Oryzias latipes: one gene and its partners. The protein of the gene in region 1 purifies or fractionates together with the protein of each later gene. This does not show direct contact. Links are inferred from orthologs where the notes say so. Each region holds a gene or a part of one and is shown on either strand. Other genes may lie near its edges.

Region 1 (7,977 bases):
AGCTAAAAACATTGGAAAGAATCTTAAAACTTAATACCTTACTGGACATGATTTAGCAAACTGACATTGACTTATACCGGTACTTTAATTTAAGTTACAGCTTATGGAAAAACCCAGGTTGCGGCTCTGATGCACACCGGGCATGTGGCGCACGTTTTTAAATGGACAAGCAGGGAGGGGCTTCTTTTTTTGTTTGCTTCTGTTTACTAGCACATGTCCGCCACTTACAGTTGGAAGAGGCTTGGTGTGAAATGTCGTATTGGTGCAAATCTTGTGAATCTTGCTCCAGGCGTTTTCCTTCACAGCTACTCTGATATGAAAGAAATGGTGTCATATAATTCTGGTTGGGGAGAAACTACAGTTATTGAATTCTCCTCCATGTTTAACATTCAAGCGGTGACACTTCCATAAATTACAAGGGACACCATCCATTGGTCGCTACTAAATCTATGTCCCTGATTTGCTGTGTTTTGTACATAGAGTCCCAAACTGGTTGTAGAAACTTGTGAATGCGCCAGTTTTAAATGTGGAAGCCAGAAATGTTTCACTTAGATTTTTTTATTGAAAGAGGTGAACACACGTTGAGAGAGGCGTGAACTTAGATTGACAATTATGCTCTTACAAGAGGTCCATAAAAATTGATTTAGTTCCACTATTTCATATTGTTCTAACATTGAGAAGCACTGTGTGAGTCTTTCTCTGCAAAAAGGGCTATTTAAATGAAGATTTACTTACTTACTTACATTTCTTTAATGAGAAAAGGCACCAAATGTCCAAAGGATGCTATGAAATGTTTGTGAAGTCCTTGAAATTTAAACTTAAGTAAAACCTTTCAAATGTGGCGTACTAAAACATTAAATAACAATAGAAATGCTTAAAATGAAAAGCAAACAAACTGTTTATATTTTAAAAAGAGCTTGTGAATTTTATAACCATAGGACAATAGTTTCTACAACCACAAAGTTGAATTTTTGCTTTTTTGTTGAGCATTGTAAAAATAATTTTTAGTTTCAGTTGCATCAGTTCCAGTAAAAATAATAACAACTGTAAAAGACAGAAAGAATAGCTCCTGACACCACAATGTCAGCCCTGAGTTTTTCAGTAGCCTTCCATCTGAGCCTTGGAACACTCATCGCAGAAATGTTGGTTTTTCTATTGCAAATGCTCTCAACAGTGAGGCTGCAAAGGGGAGCACCCCTAAGCCCTTCATCAATTTTTCTCTTTTTGTTTAGTCAGGCCCACCAGAGCCTGTGCTCTGTCATTTCACTGTTGTTCCACTTTTGACTGGGAGCAGAGACAAACCTAGTGCTTAAGGCAGACGCATTATCCACAAATGCACACATTTGCTTGGGTGGTTGTGCAGCTTCAATGCATTGTCACTGACTTGTGAAGAAACATTTGTCACTCTAAACCTATTTCACTGACTTCTGCTCTAGTGTGTTATAAATCATGAGCATAAAGAATAAAAAAAACTTGAAGGACTTTAGCCACTAACGTTTTTTACATCTCGCACTTCGCCCTTACGGGAATGAGGAACGAGAGGGTGCAAAGGTTATTAAAGCAAATGTTTGTAATTCCTGCCACAGCATATTGAATTCTTATGCAGGCACCGTAAGGAAGTAATTGATTAATTAGATTGTTTACAATAAAACAGTTTTTTTTTCTTTTTAGTGCTGTGGTTTTACAGCTTTCTGTGAATTTATTGCTGTAGTAAGCTCGTTAGATTTTCACAGTTTTCCTGACAAATATCTTTTAAAGCACACTCATTTGAGCGTTTCCATATTGATTCTTCCACGATTAAAAAACTTGTTAGTTGGCGTGCATTCTACAATGGCACAAAACTCAGAAAAAATATACAAGTAATTCAATGTATTCAAAATGTCTTTGATCTAGATAAAAATTTGATTTAAAAGTTCAGAGGTAAGAAATATAAAACATTTATCACCACTTGTATATTAGAGAATAAAATGCAATACTTTTATTTTTTGGTTTATTCTTACCATGCAAACATCCTTTGCTCAGTACTCTGGAAAGGAAAAAAAATCAAAATCAAAAAGACTAATTCCATCTTTTAAGTTCAAAACTGAGAAGAAGGGAGCAACATATCAAATTATCACACCAGCTATACCTAAACTTCCTAAAGCAGCTGCCTTTTTTAAATTTTTATGAAAGAAATACACATCTCCTATTTTTAAGTATTTTATCTTTGTTTGTTTCTTTCTACATAGTTTAAAACTGCTCGTCAGCAGAGCTGGATCTTTAAATGTAAACAATCGTAAATAGCATGTTAACATCCAGTTAAAAAATTTTGTACTCTGAAAATGCTTTACTTTTTTGGTATATATTTTATGGCATACTTACATGAATTAGGATATGGATCTTAGCCAACAACTTGGTTCTGCAGCAGAAAAAAATGTTCAATCGCAGAATGAAGAGGAAAAATACTGGCTGTGGTCACTCTGAGGAAAGCTGATTAAGAGCAGGTTGTGTAAGATGTCATCTGAAATACTTCATATTGATGCAAACTGAGGAAAAGAAAAACAAAAAAAGACTACTAGTTTACTGTTTTGCTACAGTTTTACAGTGCTAACATTGAGGGGTTTTCAACAGATGGTCACAAAGATGTGTTGCATTTGACAGACATTATGGGATCTGATGATTTACTAAAAAAATAAACACATGCAAATTCATGCAAGGAAGCAACTGAAGCAACACATTCGGGAAGGGCGGTGGGGCTTTAGATTGTCTGCTGCTGTTGTGGGGACTGTAAATAATACTTTAAAAAATTACAGCGTCTCTGAAGTTTAAAAAAATTAGAAACGACAACTGTTTCCTCGCTGCATGAATAACCTTAAAAAAAACATCTTATAAGATTAAATTTAACATTAAAAATTTATTCAAATTCATATTTTTTTAATAATTGGGTTTCATCTGCTTGAACTTTAACATAGTGACCCAAAACAGTTTCCTTCAAAAGGATTATAGATAAAGTGAAATCACCTTTCGTTTGTCAGAAAATGAACAGAGAGCATTCCTTTGCCTCCCAGCTGCATAAACTAAGTGCCGGATGGTCTCTTTCCAATTTTTTAAAAGATTTACCGACAACTTGTAACACTTTTTATTAAATAATTGTGGCCTCTGTGACTGGCTGTTTTGATCTAATAACTTCTAGGATATTTATTTTATAAATAGAATTTTACTTCTTTTTATGGTGTGGGGGAACATTTTACAGTTTAAACAACAGAAAGGTCATTGTGCAGTAATCGCTTCTATTGTCTTAAAAGTCAAAGTAAAACTTTTGAGAGAAAGGAAGTAAGATTAAAAATTAAAATTGAAATTCCTAAAGACACCATAGGAATTAAGTTAGCATTCTGCTTTTTTGTAAAATTCAGGTGTCACACATTTGTAAACTGCCTTTTATTACAGCTGCAGAAAAAAACTTCTTGAATTTAATACAGTCAAAAAACGGTGGGAGCCTGAACTGAGTAAATTGAGTATGCATAATCATCATAAAAACATAGCTAAAGATAAACTATTTAATCAAATGTGTTTAACTTTATTTTAACTGCGGCATGACCTATTATTATTAATTGACTCATAAAGCACAGAAAAATGTGATTTAAGTGAGTTTCATCTGCAAGATTTCACCTTACTGATGCCCGTTTAAACATTTTCATAATTTAGATGTGACTGTAAAAAATGTTGATGTTTTTTTTTTTGTTTTTTACAATTTATTAGTATTTTTTTTTACACTTTATAGAGCTGCGATCCTAAAAACACAAGAGCATCATTTGCACGATGGAAAATCCCAGGAGCTTTCTGATTGGCTAGATCGTCTGTCGCTCCTTCTATGACGCCACTTCCTTTTTCTTTACTCTAGCACGTGTAAATAGTACGTGTACAGAACATAGTGCCTAAATTTTCTTTTTTGGACATAGTCCTCAGGTTTTCCATTCGGTTTTCTTCTGGTAGGCTTTGCCAGGGAAGTTTTCAACATGGTGAAGCCGAAGTTTAAGGGGAAATGCTCGATTAATCCCTCATCTTCCAGCAGCAACCCCGGTGAGCTAAAGCACAGAGCTAGCACACGTTTGTTTACACTCGATGCTAACTACTATGGCTAACGAGTAAAGAAAACGTTTTGCCGGCTCAATTGCTAAGCTTAAGTGTCAACCAAGCTAAAGCAGACATACGTTTTACTTCTTTAATTTGAGAAAGCGGACTGTTTGTTGCTGCACTTAACCGAATAATTCTGTCAAGTTTTCTGACATTTTGAACTTGAAGTGAACTAACACAAAACAATCTTCTCTAGTAGTAAAATATATGTTGTTGTTAGGACAATAGATTAGACATGTTTGAAAAACCGATACAGGTTTCACTAGTGAAGGAATAACTTGACTACATCTTGTGCGTTTTACAGATCGGGCAAAGGGAGCTGGTGGGAACAACATGAGGGACCGAGCCACAATCAAGCGTCTGAATATGTACAGACAGAAACAAAGATGGTAATTGATTCTCAACAGGGATCTTATTTATCTTGCTTCTCTATAGATATTTATTGTAACTTTAATCATTGGTTTTGTTCACACTGATGCTGAGTTTCTGTTCGCAGTAATAAACATGGAAAAGTGATCAAACCCCTACAGTATCAATCTACAGTCGCTCCAGGAACTGTAGCCAGAGTTGAGCCAAACATCAAGTGGTTTAGTAAGTATCATCTTCATGCTGTATATGTGAATGTTGTGTGTCTTAAATTGTATCATAAAAAAATCATGGAAGCTATAAAAAAAGGCTTGAAATTTAGGCTGTAATGAGCATTTATTATTTAGCTTAAATAGCTGAAAAATAATAATAACCTGGTAGACAGAAGCAACAGTCTGGGCCAGGTGTGGGCAAACTGCAGCCTATTAAACTACTTAATCTGGCCCACCAAGATGGAATAAATTATATTGATAAATCCTTAAAGTTTAATTTTCAATTCTGGAGTGTCCCCATAAACGGTGCACTACAAATAGGTTGAGCTTTGTTTAGGTGTAGACAGTTGTTCTGCATTCATGTGGTGTTGGAAGGCTTGTTGTCTTTCTTACGGTCATGTGCGTTTTCTGTGTGGAGCGGATATTTTTCCGATCATTCCAACACCACATAAATGCAGCATTTCTCTAAGTTTGCTTTTTTTCACCTGAGGAACAGCCACCCATTGGTGTAATTGGCACTACAATAAAAACAAAAGCCACAGTTTCAAAAGAAAACTTCCACAATGTTCTGTCTTAAAACATGTATATTCATTTTCAATCTAAATTAAAACATGTTTTTGTCCAGATACCATGTTATTTCCTTCTTTAATGAGATGGATTACCAAAACACTCCATGCATCAAATTTTAGAACCTTTTGTGGCCCAGGAGTCAAAAGGTTTGCCCATCACTGGTCTCGGCAGAAATGCCCTGAAGGCAGAAACTTTCTCCAGCCCTTCCAGGATGACTCGGATGTGTTGCCAGGCCAGACACGTCCAGATTATTTCCCCAGGAAGGCATCCAGGAGGCAGAGGTTGTCCCAGAGCTGTCCCAGCCTGGCTTCTGTGGCTGTGGAGGAGCAGGGTCTCTACTCCGAGTTCCTTCTGTGTGGCTGAGCCCCTGACTCTTGCTTTAAAGAGGTGCCCAGTCCCCCTGCAGTGGAAGCCCATTCTGGCTGCATGTATCTGGGAATTTATTGTTTCCAAAGTTCATGACTATTGGTGAGGGCAGAAACATGAATTGACCAGTAAAATGAGAGTTTCGCCCATTTTGGCTCAGCGCCCCTCCTTATTCTGCCATTGGATTACTGCACCCGCTGCATCTATGACTCTCTCAATCTCACTCTCCATGCTTCCCTCATATTTAAGTGAGAGACCTCAACAAGAAAGGTACTTAAACTCTTGTAGTTGGAGCATGACCTTTCCATCAATCTGGAGAGGGTAAATGATCGTTTTACTAGTCAAAAACCACAGCGTCAGACTTTGAGGCGTGTGCTCTGCATGTTTCAAATTTAAATGGTAAATGGCGTATACTTATAAAGCGCTTTTCTACCTTCTTTCGAATAAGGCCCAAAGCGCTTTACAGTCACAGACCCGTTCACCCATGAACACACACGTTCACACACTGGTGGCGGCTCCGCTGCCGAACACTGGTGCCAACCTCCCACCAGAGGCAAGGTGGGATTCAGTGTCTTGCCCAAGGACACTTCAGCACATGGGCGTGCTAGTAGGGAATCAAACCTGCAATCTTACAATCATGGGAGCGACCGCCCTAGCACTGCACCATGGCCGCCCGAAATGAGAAATATTCTCCTTTTCCCTTGAAAATTGAGTTGTGTCAAACCAATATGTGCAGATAAATTACTGTTTTTACATTTTATTTTAGTCATTTATCATTAAATTCTGCAGTTCAGGGGTTGACCTGACGTCATTGTTTCACACGGGACATTGTGAGATTTTACCCTCTTTCAACTTGGACCTTCTGTTTGTTCCTCTCATCTTCTTTGGGCAACCAAGAGCCTAACTGATCTCCGTCCATTTATAGACTGTGTGAAGTCTGAGGAGCTGAAAGAAATGGAAGTGATAATAACTGGTTAATTATTGAATAGACTGCCATCAATACAGCCTTAAATTCTCACCTGTACAACACACTGCTTTGTTTCTTCATATTAGCTCAAATTTAAGTAATAGAGATGCTTAATGACAGCTTAAAATCGGGTGTTATGTGACTAAAATACATAGTATGATATAATAGTTCCAAAGTTTTGTGGTGCTGTTTTTATCAGGAAATGCTCTTTGAGGCCGTAGTCCAACTTCAATCTAAAAGACTTTTAATCACAAGAATCGACTGCTGTTCAAACAAGCGTTTTTAAGATTCCTAAAATATGATTTATGATTCAAACATCATGGCTACCAAGTCACAGCTAATTGACCAAACGTGACATACACAATAACACAAAAACATGTCTCTTTATGTCAGACCTCCCTCCACACAAAATGGTGCAAAATAGCTTTGAAGAAAAAAACGCCGCAAGAAAAGTTGGTTACATTTCAGTGTAGCGCTTTCATCGTAAAATAATAAACCGTCTTCTTCCAAACCCACAGAATCCCCTCTAGGATCACCGGGTTGCTGGAGCCTATCCCAGCTACTGTTGGGCAAAGGCAGGGTACACCCTGCCCAGGTTGCCAGTCTGTCGCAGGGCCAACAATAAAAATGAAGTTCAGCTGACTTCTTATTGAGATTTTATCAGTTAAAAGTTGGTTATTATTTCTCTGAGTGAGGGGAAACAGAAGAAACTAATCAGTTATATTGTAATTATGTCTAAAAAGAAATCCAAAGGAGTCTAACTTAAATATTTCTTTGGTGTTGTGTTTCAGCAAATACCCGGGTGATCAAACAGTCGTCTCTTCAAAAGTTCCAGGACGAAATGGGGGCTGTGCAGAAGGACCCGTATCGTGTTGTGATGAAGCAAAGCAAACTGCCTATGTCTCTTTTGCACGACAGAGTCAAAGCCCATGTGAGTCGGAGGCCTTTGAGCCTCTTTTGCCTTTCAATGCCTCTTCCGATTTATGTATTTCTTAATACAATAAATGACTTTTCTCCCCTCCCTTCCTGGGAAAGAAGTCTTATTTTTCCATATTTTGGCACAATGTTCACAAATAAACCCAGAGGACCTTGATGTAGGAACATGGTTTGAATATTTCTGAGGCTGTTGTCGTCTGCTGTTGTGTATGGATTATGGTTGCTTGTCATTTGTTTTCGTCCTTTTGTTCTGCCATGAACAGTTACTGTGACGCATAGTAACAAGGCTGGGGCTGAAGTACGACATCATTTTTTTTCTGTCTGAGCAATTAATACAAAAAAGTCGTGAACAAATCATTTTGTGGCCGGGATAAACAAATGACGTCCTGCTTATTTTGATCTTTTCTTTCTTCTTTGTGTTGATTAATAGAATAGGATATGCTCTAA
Region 2 (8,050 bases), on another chromosome or scaffold:
TATGATAAATGAAATCGTTGGCGTCAAATAATTACAGCTGGACACAAACCGCTATTATTAACTTCACCTCCATGATAAATTTTCAAATGGTTTCATTCCGTGAATGAAAACTGTTACTGCCAAATCCGAGTGCCTGATGGATCAAAGTTCAACTGGTTTGACTCTCAACACACCTTCAGAGGCCATGTGTTTTGTACCAAAAAATGATTGTTCAAAATTAGCGATGCGTGAATGTCCGAGTTTTGAACGTTGAAGCTCCAAATGCACATATACACACGTTTAAATAGACTCTTTATAGAATACGGTTGCATGAACGCGCGTTGCTGAGGGCAGAGTGAACGTAGCTTTACAAGGATAGGGAATTCCATTTTGTTTGGCATTTTTCTCCAGAATAAGTCTTGAATTTAAAGTCTTTGAAAGGTTTTTAGATGTCAGTTTTTTACTTTATTTGAATACATAGGTTTTTCCTTAAATAATTGATGAGGGGGCCTGAACTCTTTCCCTTTTTTCTGCAACTCTCCCGGAGTGACCTCTGAGATGTGCTCACATCCATGTTTACCATAAAAAACATTTTACGTGTAAATGTATCAAAAGACTTTTGGTTTAAAATTGTGTAAAAACTTAGTTATGCTGTTGTAATGGCCATACAAACCTGGCAGGGATCCATTGGAAGATTGTTCCAACAAACAGATTTAACTGTTTGAATAGTTTTACTTCTCATGCTCTGGATTCTGCAAAGAATCTGTGACATTTCCTAATGAATACTTGAAAAAAAAGGTTGAATCAGCAATAATTTCACTTTGATCTTGTTTGAAATCCTCTATAGGGGGTTAGATTTAAGATCTGGAAATGGTGATAAAAAAAATGTGCTCATACGAAGCCTTAAACATTTCTTTTGCTTCTTTCTTTGGATTAATTTCACTTTCAAAACGTCAAGGTTTTTATTTAATTATTTGTCTTTAATTCTTTCTTTTTCTTTTATATACTGCTCTCTGTTCCTGTACTGCTGCCGCAATAAGGACATTTCCCCATCGTGGGACTAATTAAGGAATATCTTATCTTATCTTAATTCATGTCAAGTTATTGACATGAATGTTATTATGTAATGTTATTATGTAAAGAGGTCAATTGTTTTTGCTGTAGTCAAGTCACATTAAATGTTTGCATTTTTTCTTTAAATTGAAAAATCTGGTTATTTTCTTTAAAAGAAAATAAAAAAAGCCAAACTGGTTTGTTTTGCGTGTTTCAGATGTCCTGGTTTGGATCCAAGCCGACCCCGAAAGGCATCATCCGGCCGTCGATCTCAGGCAGCTCGTTCCCCTGGAGCTGATGAGGAGGGAAGATGAAGAGCAGAAACAAAGCTTCTTTTAGTTGTGACTGCAATCACTCAACAAAACTTTGAAGAGCCTTTTTTTAATGACTTTACGCGACAAACGGTCTGTGGGAGACGGAAACTGCGCTGCACAATATCTTAAAGGGAAATGGGGGCTTATCCAGGATCGTTTCATTCGAATATTTCCTCACTAGCTGAAGCAGATATCCAACTTAAGCTGTGAGATGTGACACAAATAACTTCTTTCCTTTTACCGATTGACAGGAAAGTGTGTTAGTATCATCAAATGAGAGTAGGATTCCCTCACTGTAACTGCATGAAGTTGCATCAAATCTTCCTTTTGGTTCAAATTGTGCGTGACTGGGATGTCTGGACAGATGGCTCCATGGGCTTGTTTCTCTTACTCGTTTTTAAAAAAAAAATAGCAGACTGCTTTTTTATGCAAATATGTCCCAATAACAGCAGGGTGGACCTGTCCAACAGTCACATCATTTACAAAAAGGATGGAACCTGACTTTGTCTGAAGACGTGGAGATTTAAAGCTGGCAATATTTTACTTCTCATGCTCTGGATTCTGCTAAGAATCCGTGACATTTTTCCTAATGAATACTTGAAATATCACAGAAGAAACTCTGATGTTGGTTTTTAGGGAGGCGTTTGAAGAATCCTTTTACTGGAAACAGTCTTTTGTGTAGCATTATTTTAACAGTTAAAATTCCAACATCTGTTGAACCGTCTTTGTATGATGAGCTACAAACTGTTTAGCCTACTTTTTGAATTGCAGGTATCTGAATGTGTCTGCACACTATGAGGCTGTTTTGACTGTTTCTGTCACGAATTGGCCCACCCTCTGTCAGCTGATCTGGGTAGATCACAAACCAAAAACCAGCAGGTGTCAACCCAGTGGGTGGATATGATTTCATGCTTATCATGCCAAACTACCTGCTAACTATTCTAGATGCTATAGCTATTATAGCTAATTAAATCAACCCTATTCAGACAATTATACGGTATGTGATGAAATAATGAAGGCTATGGTTATGATTGAGGTGGGGGATTGTCCCACTTTTAGCTGCTTTTGCTAATGTAAATAAATTTACATTCCATGTGTTTATTTATGTAAAGATGTATATACGGCAAGCTTTGAAAACTTTATAAATCATTGGATGTACAAGGCTTTGTGTGATTTATTAATTTTTTTCCCAACAATTATTTCCCATGGACATTATCTAGTTTTTTTTGGGCTGCCTTATTTCCCATAACTGCTTTATCCACTATGAATTAGTTTATCCACACATATTCTTGGGCAAAAATTGGTTGAGATGTTAATTTCACTTTGTTTTTCATCTTGTACCTCTGTTCATTTTGTAAGCGAGTTTAATGAAGCAAAAAATGCTGTGCTTATTAGTCCCCACTCTGATCAGGTTTTGATCTAATGTGAAAGCGTTCCCAGTGTTTTCTATTTTTTTTAAATTATGATTATGCTTGTTTAGCCCCTTTTTTTTAAACTGTCGTTTTTTAGAACATAGTTTCTTGGCAGTAGTTCATCAGAAATTCCCCTCTTGAGTTGTGGGCCCCCTTCCCATCACCCATAACTGAGCTTTTTGTTTACATGCTCTCCGGCTAGCTTGTAGCCCCTTCCACCCCAATCTAACATTACTAGTGTAACAAAAATCAAAAATGGAGAGCAATAGTAATAATAATAACAATAATCTTTGCAGAAACCACTACAGGTACATCATGCAGAGTGTGTTTTGGCCCTCTGAGTTTGTCTCTTATGGGTCTTTTTCCTTTGTTTTAAGCTTCTTCGCGTCGTTCCGTTTAAACAATGGTCCTTCTGTATGCTCGGGTCATAATTGTGTGATTAGATTCATGTTTTATCATGAGATGACGGGGTCAAAAGCGAAGGACTGATTTGGTTTTGATGTGGTTGTACTCCTTACCCGCCACAAGGGGCGCTGTGTGTATTTCAGAGAGAGCGGCGCATCCTCCGGAAGCTACTTTTTTCGAGCACGCGGTGTGTCCGGCCTTTCCAACGGAGCGGCGACGAGGAACATGGTGGGTAAAGAGAGCACTCGGCCCTTAACGACATTTTTCCCCTCTCAGCACGCATTTAACTGACAGAAAATGCATTCTATAGGTGCTTTAGGTTATTGGGTTTGAGTTCGTATAGGCGACGATGGATTATTCACTACAAGAGTTTGGAAAATACTAATAGAAACGGAGCGCTATGGCGGAACGACGCCTGTGCTGAGATGTTAGCTAGTCCTTACAGAACAAAGTAGCCCATTCTGTTGTCTAGCTTCGTTTACATACACAGTTAACTTTTTATTAATGTAACGCCTATGGAAGTTTCAGAAAAAAACTAACTTGATTGGTTGAATAATTGACAAAAGCTGCTGTTTGTTGACGCGCTGTGTTAGCTTAGCGTGAACTAGCGTTAATGTGTTAGCGATCCTAAGTCGGACATGCACAGTGACCTGCTCCCACCTATGTCCTCGTCCAGGCCAAAATTAAGGCAAGAGATCTGCGGGGCAAGAAGAAGGAAGAGCTGCTGAAACAGCTGGACGATCTGAAGAATGAACTGTCCCAGCTGCGTGTGGCCAAAGTGACCGGAGGAGCCGCTTCCAAGCTCTCCAAAATGTAATCACCTGTGCTTGACACGTACCACGAGGTTTTGAATCGTTGTATTTATTAATGATGGTTCCACTCCGGAAATCTTTATAGTTTACTTCAAGAATCATGGACTCCTAGTGAACGAATTAGAGTTGATAATTGGCAACTAAAGCTTACCTGAATCTGTTTTTTTAGGTCTGACGATTTGCTCTTTAACATCTAGCCTTTCTCCAGTCTTCTCAAAATGTTCAAAAATGTCCAGCAACCCTCAGTAGTAACTTATAAGGTCAACAAAATGAAAGAAAAGAAAAAATTTCCCCAGATTTTTCTTGTTAAAAGAAAATTATGGGGGGAAAAAGTAAGTGGCATAGGCTCACACATTGTTTAAATACCCACTCTGAGCGTCTTTTGATCTTTTGTAAACATATTTTAATTATGATTATGCCATTTTAAGGCTAAATCAAAAAACTTTATTTTCACGGACTTGTTTTTCTCTTTTTTGCAGAGAAGCAGTAATTTATGAGAAATTTTCGTGAGTTGTAGGCAGGACCGTTTGGAAGCAACGCTGCCGCCTTTTCCCAACAACTGAGCTGTTTAGTGCATTTTTTTGGCTTACAGCCCCTCAGCAAACTAACATTAGCGGTACAACAAAATAGCGAGCATTATTGGAGCTATCAGCCATACAGTTTAGATCCAGATGGCAGCTCAGACGATGAAACAAAGATGCACAGCGTTTTATTTCAGTCACGAATGCGATCTTTTCTTATTTTTATTTTATTTAAAATGGCTTGATTTTTCATATGCTCCCAATTCACAACAATTTGAATACAGAAATACTCAGAAATGCTATTTTAAGCTTGAATTTTTGTAATAAATGTTCTCCGTCATTAAAAAATAAATGCCAAAAACATCATTTTCATCAGAGTGGGTCTTTAAAAATTGTGAATATTTATTTTTAATATTGATCAACTTATAGTTTGAAAGTAAAATATGCCAATATTTTACTTTCAATTACTTTTTCTTAAACTATTAAGGTTTTAAATTGAGCTAAAAACAAATAATTTGTTTGAACATCATTGTATTGAATCTTAAACGTTGTGAAACTAAATGACTATAGTTTCAGCCCAAAGATTTTCCTTCCTAATTTAAAGTGATAATTCTTCGTAAAGTCACATTCAACTGTCTTGCTAAGATGTTTTCTAAAGCGTAACTTTTCATTTTCAACCTTTTCTTTTCTTCAAAGTCGCGTTGTGCGTAAATCCATTGCCAGAGTCCTGACTGTCATCAACCAAACACAGAAGGAGAACCTGAGGAAATTCTATAAGGTGAGATCCCTCCCAAAACCGCTGCCAACTGTGGTCTTTGATGGTCTTTGTTTTCAGAGAGTGGAAGCTCACCCGGACTCTGGTGCAGATCAGAAAAAGTGAAAAGAGTCTGGCTTGAGTTTAAACTTTTAGCGTTTGAATGCATGGAGGCTTTTGATTAACTAATAATTATAATTGATACTTTGTCACAATGTGGAAATTCTTCTCTGCATTTTGACCCATCCCCTGGGGGGAGCGGTGAGCTGCAGACTATCTGCGCTCGGGGGGCGACAGCTGGCTGGGGAGAGCGGGGATTGATCCGACAAACCTTTGGTTGTTAGACGACCTGCTCTACCACCTGAACTAAACTGCTGCCCTGTGTCATTCACGGTGTCCACGAAGAGTCATTCATCCAGGTTGACTCTATCATAGTAGTGGGTTTAAAGGTTGTCATCTGGACTTGGTTTTTAAAATTAGAAGCTGTTTCACCATCTTATCCAAAAGGCCTTGTCAAGTCTGAAATAGCCGATAAAAAAGCTGGTTTATATGCGCTCGTGGGGGCGGAGTCAGAAAACTTCCAGTCCAGATGACAGCCCTTAAACCTAATATGATAAACTTACAGTGGTGAATGTAACCGGGCAGAGGGGGGGCGATCAACGAAGTCAACGCGATGCATAGAAATGTTCGGGGGGAAAAACCTATCCACTAATCTAAATGATTAAAAAATCAGGTAAACGTTTGGTGGTTAAACGCTTAGTGCGAAGCTGTATAAAGGGCGAGCAGGACTCTCTTCTTTTTTCTTTTTGAGTACTGCACGACTGAGGCCGTTTTCAGACTGAACACATTTGGTACGCTTAAAGTGAACCACCAATAATCCAAAACAAATTTTCAGTCTTGATGTACCCAAGCAGGTGCCAGGAACCGCTCTCTGACCCACCTTCCGTCATGGCCTCGGTTAGTTTCCAATCGGACTGAGCTCTAGTTCTCTCTGAGATTCCTCCGTCTGAATACAATCCGTCCCCCGGAGCGGAATAACTGGACCAAGAGTAGCCGACTAAAGCAGAGTAGGGCTGAAGCAACAGATGAGCCGCGGACAAATATAAAACAGTGATTGTCGTGTTATCAAACAGAGAAAAAAAACTGTCTATTTGTTAGAATGTTTTAACACTGCTGAAAATGCTTTTTACTTTTGTCTCGTTACGCAGCACACACACTACAGGCACCACTGTGACGTCATCCTAAAAGCTACCTAGTAGTTCCTTAACAGAATTGTCTTAACCCTTGTGCTATCCTATGGGGTCAAGATGACCCCACCCTTACATTGACGTGTTCTCCCTACCATGATAAAGGTGGAAAGATTTCATGGACACCAGTGAAGATCACAAATCGTTGAAGAAAAAAGGTTCAGAGCACTGTTTAGTGGGTCTAGATGACCCAACTCCCAATGTTAAAGTGCCTACGATAGCACAAGGGTTACAGCAATGCAACAACACCACAACGAGGAGACACGGCAGCTCATTAAAATGTGATATAGTGAAACAACTTTTAACGCGGGACAAATTGCTTCTCACTGTTTCCTGACAATCTTTTTGTCATGAACACTCATCAGCGAACCTTCTTAGCTGTCTTCTTGCCGGTACGTCTCCACCTGACTAAAAATGTGTTGAGCCTGACGCTGTTGAGCCTAAAAGCACAGGACTTCCTTAATTTCTGCCTCTTGCTGCTTTGCCCCGTCCTCGCACTCCCTGACCAATGAGTAAAGGGATCTTTGGTCACATTGTTTTGTGTACAAGCTTTAGTCTGGAAAAGGAAAGGAAAGGTTCAGGATTTGATCTGGACCAACAGATTTTTCTGATTTTCCAGACATTTGAACTCTCCTAAGAGCGCAGTGTGCAACTAACCAAAGGAAAGTGTGAAAATTATTAGCATTCCCTGCCCCTCTAACAGAATTCACAGGGCGGTCCTACTGTGAAATGAACAGAGGGGTCTACTCACTGCACACCCGCTGGGCTGAGCCGACGGGTTATCTTATGCTACGCGTCCACCGCCCTCTGCGGCGCACAGTCAAGCAGCCGCTTTCAATGAGGGTCTATGTAAACACACATATACACACTTTAAAGATTAAACCAGGGACAACTTTGACCAATCGTATTGGGTAGTGTTGCATGGAGGAGAAAATGATTGCGGTTTGTGTTGGGCCAGAATAATAGAACGCCCAGTCGTTGATGTGGTGGAAGGGAGCTGTGAAGGAAAAAGCCCGGAGCAAGATTTCTACCGCTTTGATAGTTCGCACAAAGCCTCTTCCGACTGTAAATGGCTGACATGCATAAGTAAATGGTAGAAAAAGAGAATTGTCCGGTGTGAACACCAAGAATGCGGGTCACATACCTGATGTGAACGCAGCTGTGCACCAAAACAGCTGGAGGGAAACATTAACTCCTATTGGCTGAAAAGATCCATCATGGCTGGAGCTTACAGCACTCTGATGTTGATCTGAAGTCCAGGGGCCGGTGTCATCACATCTACCATAAGGGCCGTACGTTTTGGTCAAATACTGTTGTGACCCGACCGGTTCTGAGACGGGTTTTCAGGTGGACCAAACATCCCAATCCCACTGTGCCCTTAACGGTTCAGGTTCAGCTGCTCTGTCGTCCAAACACAGGAACTAGGTGTCACTTATCCCCTTAAAGAGCTGATTAGTCCAGCAAGATAGGAAGGCACTCAGTAGAAACTTCCAGAACTGCATCAACTGAATGAAAGCTGCTGTGACATCCTCATGAGTTAGAACAGGTCACTG
Region 3 (7,272 bases), on another chromosome or scaffold:
TGGCTGTGTGTCCCTGTAGGCTTTGTTCTTAGTTGTATCAGCAGCATGAGAAGGTCAGTGTGCCCTTGTGCATACAATACATGCTTCATCCCTCTTTGTGACGTCACTGCCCTCTCTGACGAACACATTTCTTGGGGAGCTGCTTCATTATACCCCTAAAAATCAGCACGATGCAGTGTTTCTACTCCCCCAGCGTCATCGAGAAATCTTATTTTCATTAAAGGGACTCTGAATGAAAAGTAATCACTGCATTCAGTTTGGCAGAAAATACAGACGCTGTTCTGAAAACCAGGTTTGAGAGCTCAGCATACAGTCTATTTCTGCTGTTCTGGTGATTTATTAGCATCTCAATGAAAACATGACTGTCATAAAAACAGTGGCATGGTTGAAGGGGTTTTGTCAATATCTTCTCCACTTCAGTCCCCATCTTTTTGACTTGTGATTCGTGGCGCCAGCTGGCCTCAGAAACCCTCCGTGTTGTTTGTGCTGCAGCATCAGATGTGCTTTGATGAGGCAAAGAGCGTTCAAGCTTTCAGAGTCAATAAAATGCAGCTAAACTTGAGAGACATGTGAAAATGTCTCACTTTTTTTGTTTAATCAAAACAGAAAAGACAGTATCAGTTTGGGCTTTATGACTTAGAAACTGGTTTTGATTTGAGTTATTTGTAATCTCCTGTTGCCATAAGGAAAAATCATAAAGAAAGGAAAAGTCTGTTTGAAGAATTGTAATTATTGTAAATGTTAAATTATTTAAAGCTTTTGTTTGTCTTCTCATTAGATCCTACACATTGTACAGCTCCCCCTAGTGTTAAAAGGTGGAATCTTTTTTTTCGCCATACTTCCTGTCAAGGTTATACATGAGTGTAAAGCAATGGACCCCAACTTTATTCAGGCCATGGACCTGTTTAATGTCCAAACTTCCTGTCTTTCTCTCTCTCTCTCTCTCTCTGCGTTCTGGCACAAACTGTTTTTAATGAACTGGTATCGGTCTGCAGCCTGGGGGTTGGGGACCGCTGATGTAAAGGAGAACAAAATACATCTAGTTCTGGAAAAAAAAAAACACAGCAGTATTGGTTCAATGCCACAGATACAAAAAAGGTTGTATCGATGGTGAAACATTTCTTTGTCAGGTTCTCTCTACTGTACGCCAGACGAAGATGTCCAATCCCAAGCCTGCGTCTTCCAGGTTGGGTCAATTCTAATTGGCCGAAGGTTAACCAAAGTGGGGGATGTTGTGTGCACTAAACACATGGTACCTCTTTTTTTCTAGCACTGCAAACAAAACCTGAATAAATTAATGTCACACTTTTATTGATCACAAAGAATGTGTTGAAATGGCTGTGACAAGCTGTGGGAGGGAAATGTACACAACCCTATTGTAGACTGTTCTGAGTGGACCAAAGGGTCAATGTTACATTGTAGTTCAATTGCAATGATGTAGTCTTAACAGCCCATAATACTCACCGGCTTACGTTCTCCTCAGTGATGGTCCAACGATGCCGATAGTGGATAAACTCAAGGAGGCGTTGAAACCTGGTCGAAAGGACTCTGGTGAGGACGGGGATCTCAACAAGCTGTTGGCATCGTCTGCCAAGAAGGTCCTCCTGCAGAAAATCGAGTTTGAGCCGGCCAGCAAAGGTTTCTCCTATCAGCTGGACAGCCTCAAGAACAAGTATGTGATTCTGAATCCCAGAAGTGAGGGCGCCACGGGGCAGAAGGCGTCCGAGCCTGCTCCGATAAAGAGGCAAGGTAAAGCTGGTGAAACTGAACATTTTAGATAAAGAAATTTTCTTTGGCTGTTGAGCGCTGACAGTTTGTTTCCTTGCTTTGTTAGTCTCGGAAAATGTGATCTGGAACCAGAGTGACGGGATCCCCGCGCCGCAGAAGATGCTCTTTCCAGCAAACAAGCTGACTCTGAAGTGGGAGCGCGTGTACAGGGTGGGAGCTGGCCTTCACAACCTCGGAAACACCTGCTTCCTCAACTCCACTGTGCAGTGTCTCACCTACACCCCGCCACTCGCCAACTACTTACTCTCAAAGGAGCACAGTCGCACTTGTGAGTCCTTTCTATTGCGTCCCCTTTGCTTACATTAGTCTGACGGGGAGATCTCAAATGTGGCGTTTTTGCAAACTGGTGTAGCTGAAGATCACAGGATGGTCTGTCTGCTGAGTGAGGTGAGGTCAAATCAATGAAAAGAAGTGTGTGTGGGTGGGGTGGGTACATAGATTTTGTCTAGGTTCTTATTAAGCCTATTTTCTAACTTTTCATTTTAAAATAAGAAATGTGTATGCACAACAATTGTTGACGAGGCAAAATGTTCCTGACCTAATGTCTTTTATAAAGAATGTTTACTTCAACTTGACCAAGAAAGTGTGGGGCTGAATGAACATGAACCATTTTTAAGATAACCATAAACAAGTCAACAAAACTCTTTCTATCACTTTAAATGACTAAATCCACTGAGTTCTTTATCGCCATGCCTGGTGTGATGCACGTTCCAGAACTTGCAGCCTACGGCGGTCTTATTGGACTGTCGCTACCCGATTCTAGCGGATGTCCATCCACCACAGATCAGAAATGTCAAAACGGTGCAAATCTTGTGAATCTTGCTCCAGGCATTTTCTTTCACAGCTCTATTTGGATGTGTAAAAGACGTGGTGTCACAGAATTCCGGCACAAACAGGAATTCTTAATTTCTCCTCCAAGATCGATTTTCAAACGGTTGGCATTTGTGTGTTTTGAAAACACAGAAGGCACTACCAAAGCCAAGTGCCTGATTGGTCAAAGTTCATCCTGGTTTAACCTGTAATGGTTCGGTTTTTAGTAGGAAGAGCCTGAAAGCGATCATAAACACGTGCAAAGTGACACTTGAGCGCGGAAGCCTGGAACCCGCGTTTACGCAGCCTTTTTAGTGGAAGTGGTTGCTTGATCGTGCCTCGCCAAGGTCCGTGTGAATGTAGTCGAGGACTGAGCGGCGCTTCTTATTTGCTGGCAGTAACAAGCACCGACACACACAACTACAGCGCCCTCTGGTGGTTGTTTGTATTCATTTAAAAAGAATTACGGTACATACATGTTGGACCAACCAAACTAGGCAAAAAACAAAAATTGTGACCTATACTCCAAAAGATACTGTACACCAATCTGTTGCTACAGTCTGTAAAGATAGTTATCTCCATTGTGTTCATTTGCTGCTATCAAAACATTTTGTGAAACCTCCAGAGGTTTGGCATCTTAGTTTTCTTAACAGAAAAAAATCTGTCCATAGCATTTTTTTCCTTAAAGAACAGCCTTAAAAAGTAAACGAATAAAAGCAAAGAAAGTGACATTTTCTGTTTTTAACTGCTGACTAAAGCTGCAACTTAAGTGTCTCTATAATACTAAGCAATATTGATGCATTTAGAATTCAATTTTTAGACCTTTTTAGCAACACATTTTAACATTTTATATAAAACTGCTTTATCTGTGAGTCCTAGCTGATAATTCAGGCGTACTAACTATCTAAATAAATTTTACATCAAAACGTTTTTGTTGCATTGGGTGTTGATTTCTGCACCCTATTTCTCAACAGAGGAACTTCTCTGATGGCAAAGAAAAAAAAAGTAACATAAATTTATTTTGTTTTGTTTTTCTGTTCTTCTCAAAATGATCCTAAAGACTTGATGAAAGCAGAAATGAGTGTGCTGCTGCTTTCTTTGTGACTTTTACCGTCTCATGTGTGTTCCAGGTCATCAGTCGGGTTTCTGCATGATCTGTGTGATGCAGAACCACATCATCCAGACCTTTGCTAACACCGGCAATGCCATCAAGCCCGTTTCCTTCATCAGGGACCTGAAAAGTACGATTTTTCTCCATTTTTTCACCCACTCGTTTTAAAAGTAGACCATGTCAGGAGCTGGTAGCTTTTTTTTTTTCTTTTTAACCTTGTGGAGAGCTGGGATTAATTGTGAATTTCACCTTCACGCTCACTGCTCTACTGCGTACTTTCTCCCGGTGTCCTGCTGCAGTCGTGCACCCCCTCTATCCTCTCTGACTCCTCCTGACTGCAGGTTTAGGACAGCAGCTTTAGCTTTAGCCTTCCTCTGCTGCTCATTTTCACATTAACACAACTGATGGTTGCAGCTAGAAGCAACAAGCAAATGCAAAACATTTAGTCATCTCCCTCGTCCTCACTAATTCGTCATAAGCGCATCATTCTGTTTTCCCACTCTGAGGTGACTCCATTATCTTCAGTGAGTAAGGATGCAGTGCTGGGAATGTGAGGATCACATTAGAATGATGCCTTCACCATTAGGAAATCACATTGGAGCAAATGTTTATAGCTACATTAGCCGTAATGTGAGGCGTTTACTGTAAATGGGACACAAGGCTGCCGGAGTTATGAGTCACTGCTTGGCTGTTATTTCTGAAACACAAAACAGTGGAAGTTTTCTTGTAATCTGAGGTTGTGTCTTGAGAAAATGTTGGTTTAAAGTATTATATCAATATAAAAGCTTGTAGTTATTTAAAGAGCAATTGCACTGTTTATGTATGTCTACAAACAGTTGATCTTATTATGTGCAGTGTTCCAAAAACGTGTGATGCATTTGTTTTTTTCCAACAGAAATTGCCCGACATTTTCGCTTTGGGAGTCAGGAAGACGCTCACGAGTTTTTGCGGTACACCATCGATGCCATGCAGAAAGCCTGTCTCAACGGTTACCCCAAGTAAGGCTGCTGAGAAGATTTTACATGAGAAACCTGAATGCTGGTCTGACTTGAACCAACGGATTTCTTCCTGCTTGTAGGCTGGATCGGCAAACGCAGGCCACAACACTGGTCCATCAGATCTTTGGAGGTTACCTCAGGTCAAGAGGTATGGGTTCATTTGGTCCACCCTCTCTACTTAGATCAGACTTTTTTCTTACCAATGGTGATGCATCACTGAGCTCTAAATATTCTGATGATGATCTAAACGTTGTTTAATGTCTAAAAGTTTTTTTTCTTTTCCTCAGTAAAGTGCTCTATTTGCAAAAGTGTGTCAGATACTTATGACCCTTACCTTGACATCGCTGTGGAGATACGGGTGTGTAGCACAATATTTCTACAATAACCTCATTTATTCTTGTAAAGCTGATTAAAGTGGATGATTAAAAAAAAACAAAAAAATCGATCTTCAAGAACATTGTTCTGTTGTTTTCCAGCAAACGGCAAACATCGTTCGAGCCCTGGAACTGTTTGTTAAACCAGATGTTTTAAGTGGAGAAAATGCTTATATGTGCGCCAAGTGAGTTCCTTTTTCATGACCTGACACTAAACGCTGACTGGAGGAATAAAACAAAACTCAATTTTTTAAGGATCTATTCATTCAAATGTGATTTCTTTTTTTTTTTTAAAGGTGCAAGAAGAAAGTGCCGGCCACCAAGCGCTTCACCGTCCATCGAACATCTAACGTTCTGACCTTGTCGCTGAAGAGGTTTGCCAACTTTAGTGGAGGAAAAATAACAAAGGTTAGCCGATCAATATCAGTCCCGTGACAAAGGGGGGGGTTAACATGTCCACCAAATATTAGATCATTATGTGGGGGACTTTTCTAAAAGAGTACGTAGATAATCTGGTGTCTTTTATGCCACAACAGCAGTTATCTGGTAATAAGATATCCAATTAGCATATAGATTTCTCCCAGGAAGACTTCCTGTTTTTTTCCACTTATAACTAGATTTTGTAATTAAAGATGGATATATATTTAGTAGTTTTATACCTGCAAATGTGTGAACAAAATGAAGGAGGTGGAAGTCACATAACACCCCAGTGTTGCCGATCCAAGCAACAAAACTTTTTTTCTTTTAAATACAAATTGATGGCAGCAAACTGCTGTTTATTTTGCAGACATATTAGTTTCCACATTAGCAAAGCTAATAACTGGACATTTTTATGAAGAACAGATAGGCGGAGGTATTCAAAAGAACAGGAGGTTTGAAAGCAACATCATGCTTTATGTACTTAAGGTGTCCAAAGTAAATCGGAAGATTGACCCTCCTGTTAACCAGCGCTTTTTTAATAATCGTATTTTCATTGCCTATTTGAGAATATCTAATTACCATATTTTTAAAAAGACTTTCCTTTTTTATCAACAGGGTAATTAAAAAAAAAAGCAACTTTACTTCCTGCTCTGAATATTTTTCCTTGTTTTCTTTTTTTTTTTTTTTTTTTTTTTTTTTTTTAAAGGATGTTGGATACCCAGAATTCCTCAACATCCGCCCCTACATGTCTCAGAGCTCCGGTGATCCTGTCATGTATGGCCTCTATGCTGTGCTGGTGCATTCTGGGTACAGTTGTCATGCTGGCCATTACTACTGCTACATCAAGGTATGTCGGCCACCTCAGCCTGAATTATTTAACGATTTCAACCTTAATGGCTTGTCACCTGTTTAATTTTTTAGTTTTTAACTTTAAAAATAGTTTTAAATGCAGATTAATAAACGGTTTGGCTTTTATTTAAACAGCTGCTTTGGATCAAAATTTTCTCTAACTTTTGTTATTCTAGGCAAGCAACGGGCAGTGGTACCAGATGAATGATTCAATGGTGCAGTCGAGTAACATCAAAGTGGTTTTGAACCAGCAGGCATATGTGCTTTTCTACCTGAGGTAAGTCGGTGAGATCAAAAAAGATCTGTGCACTTCCTGTACTATTAAAGTAACCAGAGTTTGTGTGTAACGCAGGATCCCTGAAACTAAGAAGACTGCAGATGGACAGACCACCAAGACGGGGATGTTGCATTCTGGGAAGAATAATGCATCGTCGGAGCAGATTAAGAGAGCTAACCTAAATGGGCCTCTGTCCTCCCCACAGGTCACAAAGGTATAAGAGAAAAAAAGAATGAACAGGATTTCGGTGTTAATGAGGACGTTTATTTCAGTAGAAGTCGTTTCTTCCTGACAGAAACTTGAGCCTGCACAGCTGAGGAAGATTCAGTCCATGGACAGCGGCTTGGGTTTCCCCGTTTTCAGAAATGGTGGCAATGCTCAGCTGCAGCCAAGACTCCCCAACTGGACGAACGCTACCAACGGTCCACCAAAGCTGGGGAGTGGGCCCACCGTCATTGAGGAGCCTTTCAAGAAGGTGAAGAAGCCCAGCCCTCAGGGCCAGGTGCAGTCGCGCAGCACCACGCCCACCCCTTCCAACAACGGGGTCAGCCGGATGGAGGGGGATAAAAAAGCGGGTGGGGAGAGCAGAGGAATGGCAGCATCTACCTCATTCAAGTCTTTGTCGGACTCCTCCTCTGCTGACAC
Region 4 (7,971 bases), on another chromosome or scaffold:
TCTCTCAACATTTCGCACCAACTCAGGCTCCTTCCCTCCCAGAGAGGTGACATTCCATATCCCAAATGCCAAGTTCCATGACCTCGACTGCCACCAAAACCACCTTGCACTGGCCCCTTTTGAGGTCTCCTATGTGTGGCAGGCTCATGGGAGAATGGTCCCATGTTGCTCCTTCGTGATGTGCCCGACCGGGGTCTGTGGGAAAAGCCCCGGTCACCAGGCGCTCGCCTGTGAGCCTCAACCCCGGGCCTGGCTCCAGAGAGGGGCCCCGGTGACTCCAATCCAGGCGACGTAATCGGGTCCTTGTTGTTTCTTTTCATTAGGGGGTTCTGATCCGCTCTTTGTGTGGCTCGTCACCCAGGACCTGTCTGCCATGGGAGACCCTGCCAGGGGCTTAAGCCCCAGACAGCTTAGCTCCTGGGATCACTCGAGCTCTCAAACTCCCCCACCACGTTAAGGTGGCGGTTCACGGGGGAGCTGGCTGATGGGTCTTTTTGTGAGAGCATATTGGATGCTGAGTCGTCTTGCCCCCCATCATGTGCGGTCCTTCAGGGTTCAGTTCTAGGACCACTGCTGTTCTCCCTCCACTTGTTGTCTTTAGGTTCTATCCTTCGGAGACACAACGTTGCCTTCCACTGCTATGCTGATGATTGCCAGGTCTACTTACCTTTGAAAAAGAATGATGGCTTCTTAGCTAAAGCACTCTTGGATTGCCTACAGGGCATAAAAGTACAGTTGGCCCTGAATTTCTTATATTTCAATGAAAACAAAACAGAGGGCATAATGTTTGGACCTGGTGGCCCTTGTGAGTCCACTTTGCTTTTTAAGATTGACAGTGATTTTAAATTGGAGGGCCAGATTGAATCAGTGGTGAAGTCCTGTTTCTTCCACTTAAGATGATTGGGAAAGGTGAAATTGTTTCTTTCCAGGCAGCACTTAGAAACCTTGATACATGCATTCATCACATCCCATCTGGATGATTGCGATGGACTTTAATTTGGAATGAGTCCGTCCTTGCTATCTCGTCTGCATCTGCTTCAGAATGCTGCTGCTCGACTTTTAACTGGGACTCGTAAGAGAGAGTGCATCACCCCAGTCCTTGCATCACTCCACTGGCTGCCTGTGTTTTATAGAGTTCATTTTAAAATTCTCTTGCATGTTTTTAAGTGTTTACACGGTCTTGTGATGCGTCCGGGACCACCACTGGACGAGGTTGTGGTGCATCCGGGACCACCACTGGACGAGGTTGTGGTGCATCCGGGACCACCACTGGACGAGGTTGTGGTGCATCCGGGACCACCACTGGACGTGGCTGTGGGGGACGGCGGGAACGACGTCGACGTCGACCCCCCCTCATGGCGAGACGGCTCCCAGCATAATCTGGACGGCTCCCACTCCAGGGAGATGATGAAAACTGGGCCTGATCAAAAATCCAAAATGTTCTAGTCCTTTCAGCTTCCTGGCAGTAAGCCTCTAGGAGCATCATGTCCCGCTCCGCTGGGTCCAGAAAAAATGGCTGGTTCATTCTGTCATGTGTAGAGGAGGCTCGAGAGCCGGTTGGACCCAGACGCAGAAGCGGAGGCACGAGGATCAGGGACTAGTGGTTTTAATACAAGGAAACAAACAAAAAGCGCTGCAGAGCAGGTTCACAAAACAAAAACAAAAACTTACTTGGGGAGGCATGAAACGTGGACGAGGCAAGAGACAGGACCATGGACTAGACAGGACATGAACACCATAACAGAGGTAATGAACCAGCACAGGAGGAAGGCAAAGACAAGACTTAAATACAGACAGGGCAGACAAGACACAGGTGGACACGATCAGGGCTGATGGGGACCAAAGGAAGTAAAACTCAAGAAACAAGACAAGACAGGACCTTTCAAAATAAAACAGGAAACAGAAAACAAGACAGAACAAGAACTAAGATGAAAAACAAGACAACAAACTCAAAACCATGACACTCTAAGTATTGTAGACTACAATTCTACTGTTATTTTATTGTATGTTATCATTTTCTTCATTTTTTATTTATTTCTGTTTTATTTATGTGAATATGTGTGTCATCTTTTGAAGTTCTAATAAAAAAAAGAAAAAGAAACTAGAGGAGCTGCATTTCCAGAAGAAAATGCAGGGTTGAATGCTGTACTGCTAAATGAAAGCTGAATTTGCTGAAGAAATGGTTGAACTATTGAAAGTTTGAAGAACACAAAATGACTGCCAAACGGTCGTCATCCCATGATGCTGTAGTCTAAAGCCTTGTGATCATTTTAACATTTGAATGGTGTCCCTAGCTAAAAGTATGTTGAAGTTATAATGGTTGAAAGAAGCTGAAGTTTTCAAGGATTCTCCATGTATTTCAATGAAGGTGAAGTCCTGGAATATTTTGAAAAGTTCAAGGGTTTGAAGGACCAAAATTCATGGCTGGAATAAGCTGAAACAGCAGAACATTTTAATACTAGAATGGTTTAAAATAGGTGAAAATTGGTGAGAATTTGTAGAAGGAGTTTAAAGCCGAAAAACGGTGGAAGATGCTATGATAAATAAATAAATAAAGAGAAACATGGAAACAAAAGGTTGAATGCTTTACAGCATTTCAATAACCCAAAAAGAAAGAAATGGAATATACTGTGGTCCGTTAGGGGGCGAAACGGGTTCGACATTTTTCTAAAGGAAGACACGAGTGACGCTCCTGCGTCACTTCCGCTCTACTTAAAAAAATGGCGTCCTCTTTGCCTCAGAGTGGTACGAAGGAAGCGAAAACGGACAAAAATCCCACAAAAGCTAAATATGACGGTGGGTTTCTTTGTCAAGCAGCTGGTTACCGTTATATTACTTAAACTGCTGATTTTTGTGGACTCGGAACTGATCTTTCCACGTTAAACAAGCCACATGTCCGGTGAAAACGTGTTTTGATCTACTGCTGCCTGCGGCTGCGTCATTTATTCAGCGATCTGTGTTAACTTTATTTAAGTTTGTTTGTTCGGTGACTTAATCTGCATATACTGCAACACTTTTCCTAAATGTACTTGTTAAAAACAAAGCTTTAAATATCGTATTTTTGTTCTACCCTGCCCTCTATCGGACAAAATTATCATGAAGGATGTAACGATTATCGATGTCAATTAATCTATTTATCCAACCAGATCGATGTCTGAAGCAAGTTGTTTATTAAATCGACCTTTACCATTTTGAAATAGTTTTTAAATGAAATAAATTGATGGTAGTTAATTTCGGAAATAGCATTTAGATTGAGACATGGTAGGTTTATTTCACTATAAGATAAAAACCACCAAGTGCATCACAGTGAACAACACACATGTGATGTCATCAAAAACTGATCAGTCCATCATTCCAGTCCAATGTGTTGAAACACTTAGTCATGTGACCATCCAGTGTCTAGAATGTTCCCTTTGGATGAGGAAAAACAACAGTGGTGAACTTTAGGAAACTTACTAGAATGTGAATGGATTTGACATTCATTCTAGTTTACTTGTTTGTTTGGACACAGATTTCATTTATACTTGAATATCTTGAAGAAATTCAAAAATCTGGAAAAACTTCACCTGCATTGTTCAGTAGCAGGAATTTCTCTCTGAGTCACACTGCTTGAAGTTCTGGTTTAAGATGTCCTGGATCCATTTTAGGTTCGTTCATAATGAACCAATATCGACTTTTCTACATCTACCGGTACATCTATTACTAAAAACAGAACGTTGTTAGTACAATTCCTATCAATGAGAGTACTCTCCTCAAGGGAAATAAGGCATTCTGTTTCATTCATTTCAAGTGGGAGGTAATGATGGCACACAAGTGGTCTCCAACCCTGTTCTTTGGATCAGGTGTGTTCAGTCAATCAGAAACTGGGCTAACTCCATTCAGGTAATCAGCAGCTACTGAGGCAGAGTTAGCTGCAATTCAAGCAGGGCAGCGGCTCACAAGGAGCAGATGGAAACGCCTCTTTGTACACCATGTGACTTGATAACCATCACTTTATCTCTCTGTGGGGAACATCCATTTGGTTTTCAACCTTTCAAGTCTGTAGTTACCATCAACTTAATCATCCATTTCAAAGTTTTTATATTTATAACAAATCAATCAGGCAAGAAAAACATTTTCTTTTTGTGTAAAATGTCAGGATTGTTCCACACACTCAAACTGTGGGGAGAAAGTTGTGAAGAGTTCAATATAACATATTATTGATGAAAAATGTGGCTCATTTGAGAGAAAGTTTTCTGAACATCTCAACAGAACATGTGGGTCTCGCAGGAGTTGGATCCAAACTGTACGGCTGGATTTACTCCAAAATTTCTCGCCATTTTGTTCGGTTGGGGTTGTGGTATTAAGGTAGTGGGTGGGCGTGTAAACAGATGGGTGGGGGTGGGGTTCTTTCATGCCAACCATTCAACTCAGAGGTGAATTTCTAATGAACTCCTGCCGCTCTGCAGAAACGACACTAGAAAAACAACCCAGGTTTTTGGATTTGGGTTAAAAACGCTGTCATCCTAATTAAAAGACCACTGGGAACAAAAGATGGTCGAAGTGGAACTTCAAGGAATCTTTTTAACCCAGTTAATTTTATACATCTTTCATCAGAGTTCGTCGGATTCCATGAAACACTTTAAGTTTGAGGTATTGTGGCGTTTTGGTCGTCCTCGCTGTCGGGAGGAAAAGTCTTTGAGCCTTGACTGACCTGTGCATCCTGCAGGGGCAGAAGCTGAACTCATGACTGTTCCTGACGGATGGAAAGAACCGGCCTTTTCCAGAGAGGATAACCCCCGCGGCCTGCTGGAGGAAAGCAGCTTCGCAACTCTCTTCCCTAAATACAGAGAGGCGTACTTGAAGGAGTGCTGGCCGCTGGTGGAAAAGGCTCTTGGAGATTCTGTACGTAAAAACTCAGAAGAGAAGGAATCGAATCAGCTCGATAGATTGATGATCAATATTCTGGACTGCTTTCTCTGCTGAAATACTTTTCTGCCTGCTTAATTTGGCTTGGGATTTGATGCAATCAAACAAATATGTTATTTTCTGTATTAAAAAAACAAATTTGTTTTTCTTATATACTGTTTTTGAGATTTAAACTGAATGTAACACTTTCAGAGGGAAAATCATTGTTGCATTAAAAACAACAGATTTTTTTCCAGTCCTAAAAAATACAGCAAAAAAGTTGAAAGAAAAATGTATCCATAGGTTTGATGAATAGATTTTATATGTTCTAGAACAGGGGCGTCAAACTCATATTCACCGAGGGCCACATCAGCATAGCGGTTGTCCTCAAAGGGCCAGATATAATTTATACATGTAACTAAATGTAATGAAAAATAAATGCAACTACTCCTTAATGTTAAATAACTCATTTATTTAATTACCATAACTTTTTAAAGTGACAATTACAGTTGCATAGTAAAGATATGTTTGCTTGTTACTCTATCATAAATCCTTTTACATTTGATTCTGTCAGGTTAGGTTATATGGACAGTGTTTAAGTCCTAATGTATAGTCGCCCAATCTGATATTTCAAGTCTGATTCCCTCTAGATATGAATAAACACACACCAATTTTTATTTTTTATTTTAAGAAATTATAAACATTTATGCTCTTGCGGGCTGCGGCCCGCAAGAGCATAAATGTTTATAATTTTTTTAAATTTTTTATTAAAAACATAAATGTTTTTAATTTTATGCGTAAAATGACATGGAGGGCCACATTTGGCCCCCGGGCCTTGAGTTTGACACATGTGTTCTAGATGGTTTTTGGTTTTTGGATAAACTGGATTTTTTGAACCAGTCCTAAAATTGTTGCCTTGGTTTGGTGTAGTGATGCTCATTTTGTCTCTCAGCACATCAAAGCCTCTCTGGACCTGATCGAAGGCAGCATGACGGTGTGCACCACTAAGAAAACCTTTGACCCCTACGCCATCGTCAGAGCGAGGGACCTCATCAAGCTCCTGGCAAGAAGCGTCCCGTTTGAGCAGGTAAAGACTTAAGAGTCCTCTCTCATTAAAGCTGATTTTGTTAACCAACTGTTCAAAAATTAGATTTAACCAATTGTTTTGAAAAAGTAGCTTTTACACTGGTGGACAAAATAGTTGGTCCCCCTCAGTTAAAGAATTAAAGTCCACAATGCTCACTGAAATGACTTGAAACGTTCAAAAGTAACAAATTAAAATGTATTAAAAATCAAATAATCAAAATCAGCCATTACTTTTGAGTTGTTAAGTAATAGAATCATTTAAAAAATTTAATACATCAATACATCTTTAAAACCTGTCCAAACATTATACAAACAAACTGTTAAAACCTTGGATAAAAAACCCAACATATTTCACCATTGTCCAATATTACAAAAACATGGTTTACTGCATTGGGACAACATGGTCAAATTTTCAAATCTCTGTCTCATGTACAAAATCCTTCATGGCTTCTCATCCCCTCCTCTTCACCAGTTTATTAACATCCGGACAGCAGATCACAGCAGAACTCGGAGTGCAGTCAGAGGAGACTGTATCATTCCCTTCAGAAAAAGCACTTTTGGTCAGACCGCTTTTTCTGTTAGAGCTGCTACTGAGTGGAACTTCACACCTGTTAGTATCAGAAATCAAAACACATATCATTTATTCAAGACACAATTAAAGAAATGGCTCATTGACAATCAGAGCTGTCAACACTGAGTACATTTCCTATCACTGATCCTCATTACTGTCATGTCTTTTATGTGCACGTATGTTCTTACATTTTTCTGTTTTTGGATTGTTTTATCATTAATTTGATTTTAGGTTAACTGCTTATTTTATTGAATGCATTGTTTAATATATATATGTAATGTTATGTAAATATGTAATTTTACTTTGATCTTTTAGGGTGATTTTTAACATCTTCCCAGGGACTGCAGATGAAAAATAGCCCTTTGGCTAACTCTGGCATATTGACAGAAATGTTTATTAATATGCGCTGTCCCCCCTATTCAAATAAATGACTGACAAAAAACAAACTAATGAAATAGGGCTGGACATAGATGATGGTACCCATAACTTAATATTTTGTTGAACAACCTTTTGAGACAATCACTGCAATGAAACAGTTTCTGTATTTGTCAATGAGCCTTCTGCACCTGTCCACAGGTATTCTGGCCCCCTCCTCATGAGCAAACTGCTCCAGTTGTCTCAGGTTTGATGGGTGTCTTCTCCAAACGGCATGTTTCAGTTCCTTCCACTGATGTTCAATGGGATTCAGATCTGGGCTCATAGAAGGCCACTTCAGAATAGTCCAACGCTTTTCTCTGAGCCATTCTTGGGGTTTTTGGCTGTGTGTTTTGGATCCTTGTCCTGTTGGAAGACCCATGACCTGAGACTGAGACCAAGCTTTCTGACACTAGGCAGCACATTTCTACCCAGAATGCCTTGATAATCGGGAGATTTCATTTGACCTTGAACAACTTCAAGACACCCTGTGCCAGATGCAGCAAAGCAGCCCCAAAACAGAACTGAGCCTCTTCCATGTTTCACAGTAGGGACAGTGGTCTTTTGGTTGGATGCTTCAGTTTTGAGTCTACCAACATAGAGCTGATGTTCCTTACCCAAAAGCTCCGGTTTGGTCTCATCTGTCCAAAGGACATTTTCCCAGAAGCTTTGTGGCTTGTCAACATGCATTTTTGCTAATTCCAGTCTGGCTTTTTGATGATTTCCTTTCAACAGTGGTGTCCTCCTTGGTCGTCTCCCATGAAGTCCACTCTGGCTCAAACAACCATGAATGGTGCGATCTGACACTGATGTACCTTGATCTAGGAGTTCACCTTTAATGTCTTTGGAGGCTGTTCTGGGCTCTTTGGATACATCATAGTAGTAGGTTTAGGGGCTGTCATCTGGACTTTGTTTTTAAAGTTAGAAGACGTTTCAACGTTTCTTATCCAAAAGGGTTTTAAATAAACCTCCAAAGATTTCTGCTGCGTGTAAAAATGTATAAAAATGTTCTG

Evidence for each region.
Region 2: the proteins of gnl2 (region 1) and rpl35 purify together in Homo sapiens (affinity purification with mass spectrometry; 3 studies listed by BioGRID and IntAct, with this or other methods). This does not show direct contact. The link is inferred for Oryzias latipes from reciprocal best matches to the Homo sapiens genes GNL2 and RPL35.
Region 3: the proteins of gnl2 (region 1) and ubiquitin carboxyl-terminal hydrolase 36 purify together in Homo sapiens (affinity purification with mass spectrometry; 3 studies listed by BioGRID and IntAct, with this or other methods). This does not show direct contact. The link is inferred for Oryzias latipes from reciprocal best matches to the Homo sapiens genes GNL2 and USP36.
Region 4: the proteins of gnl2 (region 1) and krr1 purify together in Homo sapiens (affinity purification with mass spectrometry; 3 studies listed by BioGRID and IntAct, with this or other methods). This does not show direct contact. The link is inferred for Oryzias latipes from reciprocal best matches to the Homo sapiens genes GNL2 and KRR1.

What each region holds. Positions count from the first base shown.
Region 1 is NC_019874.2:23,618,737-23,626,713, reverse strand, and holds the start of gnl2 (nucleolar GTP-binding protein 2), read left to right. Parts: upstream 1-3,855; 5' UTR 3,856-3,995; coding exon 3,996-4,059; intron 4,060-4,417; coding exon 4,418-4,502; intron 4,503-4,609; coding exon 4,610-4,704; intron 4,705-7,385; coding exon 7,386-7,525; intron 7,526-7,977. UniProt on the Homo sapiens protein: GTPase that associates with pre-60S ribosomal subunits in the nucleolus and is required for their nuclear export and maturation.
Region 2 is NC_019867.2:28,011,248-28,019,297, reverse strand, and holds the start of rpl35 (60S ribosomal protein L35), read left to right. Parts: upstream 1-3,269; 5' UTR 3,270-3,388; coding exon 3,389-3,391; intron 3,392-3,839; coding exon 3,840-3,976; intron 3,977-5,192; coding exon 5,193-5,274; intron 5,275-8,050. Other genes in the region: golga1 (golgin subfamily A member 1), read left to right, coding at 1,250-1,330.
Region 3 is NC_019866.2:10,400,771-10,408,042, reverse strand, and holds part of ubiquitin carboxyl-terminal hydrolase 36, read left to right. Parts: intron 1-1,483; 5' UTR 1,484-1,496; coding exon 1,497-1,749; intron 1,750-1,834; coding exon 1,835-2,056; intron 2,057-3,728; coding exon 3,729-3,839; intron 3,840-4,604; coding exon 4,605-4,707; intron 4,708-4,787; coding exon 4,788-4,855; intron 4,856-4,994; coding exon 4,995-5,065; intron 5,066-5,183; coding exon 5,184-5,266; intron 5,267-5,377; coding exon 5,378-5,489; intron 5,490-6,207; coding exon 6,208-6,348; intron 6,349-6,526; coding exon 6,527-6,627; intron 6,628-6,702; coding exon 6,703-6,841; intron 6,842-6,922; coding exon 6,923-7,272. UniProt on the Homo sapiens protein: Deubiquitinase essential for the regulation of nucleolar structure and function. Required for cell and organism viability.
Region 4 is NC_019863.2:1,178,996-1,186,966, forward strand, and holds the start of krr1 (KRR1 small subunit processome component homolog), read left to right. Parts: upstream 1-2,669; 5' UTR 2,670-2,720; coding exon 2,721-2,796; intron 2,797-4,708; coding exon 4,709-4,884; intron 4,885-5,839; coding exon 5,840-5,974; intron 5,975-7,971. UniProt on the Homo sapiens protein: Part of the small subunit (SSU) processome, first precursor of the small eukaryotic ribosomal subunit.